2 linked regions of the Coturnix japonica genome follow. The protein of the gene in region 2 purifies or fractionates together with the protein of the main gene of each other region. This does not show direct contact. Links are inferred from orthologs where the notes say so. Each region holds a gene or a part of one and is shown on either strand. Other genes may lie near its edges.

Region 1 (2,666 bases), on a different chromosome or scaffold from region 2:
TTGACCTCCCACTCCCAATAATTTTTGCACCTTTTTAGTGTAGTTGGAGCGTGAAATTTAAAAGAAAGTGGGAAGACAGATGTGAATATAATCAGATCATATATACGCTTTACTAGGAATATGGCACTGCCCACTGCCCTGCTGCTGATGTGTATTCTGTTAACTTAATTCCATTATCAGTACTGAGTGTCCTTCAAGACTAACAAAAATTAACAAAGTACCCTGCTTCTGTGAGATCTTACAACTCTTAAGACAGTTGTTCCTTTCTCTTTACAGGTGCTAATGGGCAGAGTACCTGATAGAGGAGGAAGGCCCAATGAAATTGAACCACCACCTCCTGAGATGCCACCCTGGCAGAAAAGACCAGAGGCTGGTCCACAACAAGGTGGTGGCCGAGGAGGAAGAGGTGGCTATGAATCCTCATATGGAGGGCGAGGAGGTTATGACCATGGAGGTCATAGCCACGGTGGTCATGACCGAGGAGGAAGAGGAGGTCATGAACGAGGGGGTCATGATCAAGGAGGCCATGATCGAGGAGGGCGAGGAGGACGTGGCGGTTATGATCATGGTGGCAGAGGAGGTGGAAGAGGAAACAAACTCCAGGGAGGGTGGACAGATGGTGGAGGTGGTGGCTACCAGGATGGCAACTACAGGGATAGCAATTACAGAGATGCAGGTTTTCAGACGGGTGGCTACCATGGTGGTGGCGGTGGCTATCAAGGAGGAGGCTATGGTGGCTACCAGTCATGTTCATACACGGGAAGTGGCTACCAAGGAGGTGGTGGCTACCAGCAAGACAACAGATACCAAGATGGCGGGTCCCACAGTGACCGAGGGGGTGGCCGTGGAGGAGGGCGGGGTGGCCGTGGTGGGCGGGGTGGCCGTGGCGGTCAAGGAGGAGGCTGGGGAGGCAGAGGTGGACAGAATTTTAATCAAGGTGGGCAATTTGAGCAACATTTCCAGCATGGAGGCTATCAGTATAATCAGTCTGGTTTTGGACAAGGAAGACATTTCACAAGTTGAGGCTGCTAAAACCTTTTGCTTCAGCAGAGCTCAGATAATAAAACCTTGTTTCAGAGTCCTGATTTAATCACTTTTGAATTAGTACAGGTTTGTATGTGTCAGGCAGAATCTTTTGGGGTGGGATGTTATGTGCTGAACTAAGTACAGCTTTCTGTAGACTTTCCTTCCCCCCCAGTCTGTCTGAATTGAATGTGTCATAACTACTCACTGCACTCCACCTAATCGTAAATTAATAGTCATGCTCTTTTGTTGTTGTATTGACATCTGCTCAAAGTACATTGATTCCAAAACTACCTGCTGTGTTTTGCTTGACACTTTGATTTGAGAAAAATGAAGACTGGTCTAGTCACAATTATATGTTGCAATATACAATGGAATTTCTGCATCCCCTAGCCATTGTTCAGTTACATGACCTAAAATCAGTGCTGAATATTGCTTTTGGATTGCTGTCCTGTTTTAATCAAAGTTACACACACATGCAGGCCCACAGAGCAACTTCCCTCTAACAGACAGGTTTGTTATCTATTATATGAGCTCTGCTGTAGATGTCACATTTGGTAGCCTTATCTTACATCAAACCATTTTTTTCCCACCTTCTCAAGTCTGAAGACTTACCGCCGCCAAAATCTGCAAAGATCACTTAAAACTAAGCTAAATTGTGAACTGGTAGTGTACATAGGCCTGTAGTTAGGTGTAGCAATTCAAACTGACCTGCATCCATCCAAAACAAGTTGCTCCTCCTTCAAACTTAATTTTTTACTTGAAATCAGCTAGAAGAAAAAACAAAAAGTGAAATTATTTTATTTGCAAGTTAATACCACTGGCTCAGCAGATCCAGGGCAATTTGTTTTGGGGGTTGTCTTTTTTAAAGAAATGCACTACGGCCTGGGAAGTTTAGTTCCTGCCTGGAGGAAGCCCTTTGATTATTGCTGCAGAAAACAAAGCCTGGCTGAGTTTGATGTTCTAATGTGTTGGGTTTGGTTTGTTTTGTTGTTTTTTTTCCTTTACTGAAAGCCACATAATGCTTCTTGCTGGGTTTTTTGTGTACATAAACATTGTCAAGCTGTGAAAGAAAATGGCTGAAGGTTTGCTGTTGTATAAAGGGTGAGCAATAAAAGTGTCTGTATGTTCCCCTCTGCTTTTGGTTTCTTTTCCTTCTGGTGATGAGTAAAAAGCAGTTTCTGCAGTAGGTGGGAACTCTTTTAGGTATTTCTGATTGTTTCACCTAGTTTTTGTTTTAATCTCTTAGGCGGTCAAATCATCTCAGGCGTACTGTGCATTTTGCCTCCTTAAAAGCTGTCAGAACAGGAGTGAATGGTAGGAATGGATCTTCATTGTTTTGGGGTTTGTCCTCATCCTTCTCTGATTTGGTGTAGCAGTAGTGTCTCCCTCACTAGAGGTTTCCATGTGAATTAAGCTCTGCCATCGTCAGGCTATGGCTCCTTCATGACACATGTACATGGTATGCATCTGGGAGCTCTTCTGATGCTGTCTGGGCTTGTGGCAAGGTTAGGTTCTTGCCTGGGTAGCTGTAGTAGAGACTGACCTGGTGGCAATCCCTTGGGCTACTTGAAACATCCAGAGGTCTGAATTTAGATGGATGCAGATAGAAGTTCCTCGGATTACTGAAATAATATGAGTGT
Region 2 (2,316 bases):
GGGAGTGAGGCTGCATGACTTCGTATCAAAGACGGTAGGTTTGCAGGCAAGAAGAATCATAGAATGGCCTGGGTTGAAAAGGACCTCAAAGATCATATATTTTGAACCTCATGCTATGTGCAGGGTTGCCAACCACCAGACCAGGCTGCCCATAGCCACATCCAGCCTGGCCTTGAATGCCTGCAGGGATGGGGGCATCCACAGCCTCCTTGGGCAACCTGTTCCAGTGCATCACCACCCTCTGTGTGTGTATGTGTGGGGGCAGGGGGAAAACAACTTGAAAAGTATCTACTTTCATTAAATGTGTGTGATAGCAAGCTATTGATAAGAAACTACCAACCATTACATCCCGAATCAATATTCACTGTGTCTGTTATCTGCCTGGTTATGCTATTTAAGCTGAGTTACTACAAGGCGCTAATTTCTTTCTGTCTGTACGCTCTGAATCATTAGGTTATCAAACCAGAGTCATGTGTTCCTTGTGGAAAAAGAGTGAAATTTGGAAAAATCTCTCTGAAGTGCAGAGATTGCCACGTGGTCAGTCATCCAGAGTGTCGAGATCGCTGTCCTCTTCCCTGCATCCCCACCTTGACAGGCCCTCCTGTCAAAATTGGGGAGGTAAGTCTGGGGGAAATGTATGGCTGCTGACCCAAACAGGCTAATGCTTGGTTAGAGCTGGAATGTGTTTAGGCTCCAACAAGTCTGCCTGCTGCAGAAGAGCTCCCATTGCTCAGAGCTGCATAATAAGAAACAAACCAACTTGCTGAAGTTGGTAGGGATGTCTTGTTGCAATGGTGTTATGTTGTGTATGTAAGCAGCTCTGTGTGGGCGATCCTGTAGCACTGTGCTGATGGGTGTAGTGCTGCTCAAGGCTGGTGAGGAAGAAACAAGGCTTATTCTTGAGCTTAAATCTTGCTGTGAATTCCTTAGAAAATGTTTTCTGTGTCATGAAGACTTACATACTTTTTTTCTGCTGCTTTTCTGCCTTTTAGGGTACTTTGATGGACTTTGTCCCTTCTGCTCCTCCAATGATCCCTTCCATCATAGTGCACTGTGTTAATGAGATCGAGCAGAGAGGTCTGAATGAGGTAAAAACGAGGACTGTGCTGATGAAATGGGTTGGGTTGTTAAGGAAGCAAGTAGTCTAAATGTCCCTTGCTAATGGTGTGTACAGCACTGCTCAGTGGGAGGCTGTGAGCAGCAGTGGCTGTGCAGAGTGCTCAGGTGTGGAGAGAAAGTGGGAGCAGAAGGAGGTAGACTTTGTGTGTAGCTGGTATTCTGCCTCTAAGCAATGCTTTCTGCCAACAGAAGGGCCTTTACCGGATATCTGGCTGCGACAAGACAGTGAGAGAACTGAAAGAGAAGTTTCTCAGATCAAAAAATATTCCCTCGCTCAGTAACGTGGATGATATCCACGCCATCTGTGGTCTCCTGAAAGACTTTCTACGCAACCTGAAAGAGCCCCTTCTCACTTTCCGCTTAAACAAGACTTTTATGGAAGCTGCAGGTAAGGAGACAAAGTGACATCCACATTTTCCAAAGGCTTAATGACAGGCTTATCTCACACGTGAGCTGGCAGACCTCGCTGCTCCTACTGCAGCTTTGCTGCGGATACTCAGGCTGCTGGAGAGATCTCTTCTTCCAAAATAGCACAGCAAAAGAGGAGAGAAATTCCTGTTGAAAATCAAGTTCTTTCCAGAACATGAGGGGAGCTTATAACCAGGAGGGAGAGGGACTTTTTACAGCTCTTACTGTGAGGGGAATACTGCAATAATACTTTAATTTTCTTTTCTTACCCTTCAGAAATCTTAGATGAGGACAACAGCATAGCTGCTATGTACCAAGCAGTTGGGGAACTTCCTCGGGCTAATAGGGACACCCTGGCTTTTCTCATGGTTCATCTGCAGAGGTATGCTCAAATGGAGTGATGGTTCTGGAAGGTGGATATTGCCATTGGTGTGTTCTCTGATAGTCTCTCGTTGCTGCCTGTGAGTGAAAAGCCCTGGGCCAGCAGCATTAAGTGAGAGAAAGGGGAAAACTCCTTTGTTTCTTTGTTTTAAAAATAGAGTGGCTCAGAGCCCTGACACCAAAATGGACGTTACCAACTTAGCCAAAGTCTTTGGCCCCACGATAGTTGCTCATGCAGTGCCCGATCCTGACCCGATGACTCTCCTGCAGGACACAAAGCGGCAACCCAAGGTAGGTGAGCAGGAAGAGCTGCTGTGAGTGAATAGATCCCATTTAAGAAACCCTGCCTTGAGGGTGCTGAGGCGATGCCTGCCCAGTGTCTGTGTGTCAGGGCTGTGTGCAGTTCCT

Evidence for each region. The genes of interacting proteins can lie anywhere in the genome.
Region 1: the proteins of RACGAP1 (region 2) and FAM98A purify together in Homo sapiens (co-immunoprecipitation; 3 studies listed by BioGRID and IntAct, with this or other methods). This does not show direct contact. The link is inferred for Coturnix japonica from reciprocal best matches to the Homo sapiens genes RACGAP1 and FAM98A.

What each region holds. Positions count from the first base shown.
Region 1 is NC_029518.1:27,930,488-27,933,153, forward strand, and holds the end of FAM98A (protein FAM98A), read left to right. Parts: intron 1-276; coding exon 277-1,023; 3' UTR 1,024-2,161; downstream 2,162-2,666. UniProt on the Homo sapiens protein: Positively stimulates PRMT1-induced protein arginine methylation. Involved in skeletal homeostasis. Positively regulates lysosome peripheral distribution and ruffled border formation in osteoclasts.
Region 2 is NC_029544.1:387,960-390,275, forward strand, and holds part of RACGAP1 (rac GTPase-activating protein 1), read left to right. Parts: coding exon 1-34; intron 35-453; coding exon 454-618; intron 619-992; coding exon 993-1,088; intron 1,089-1,308; coding exon 1,309-1,507; intron 1,508-1,803; coding exon 1,804-1,909; intron 1,910-2,066; coding exon 2,067-2,199; intron 2,200-2,316.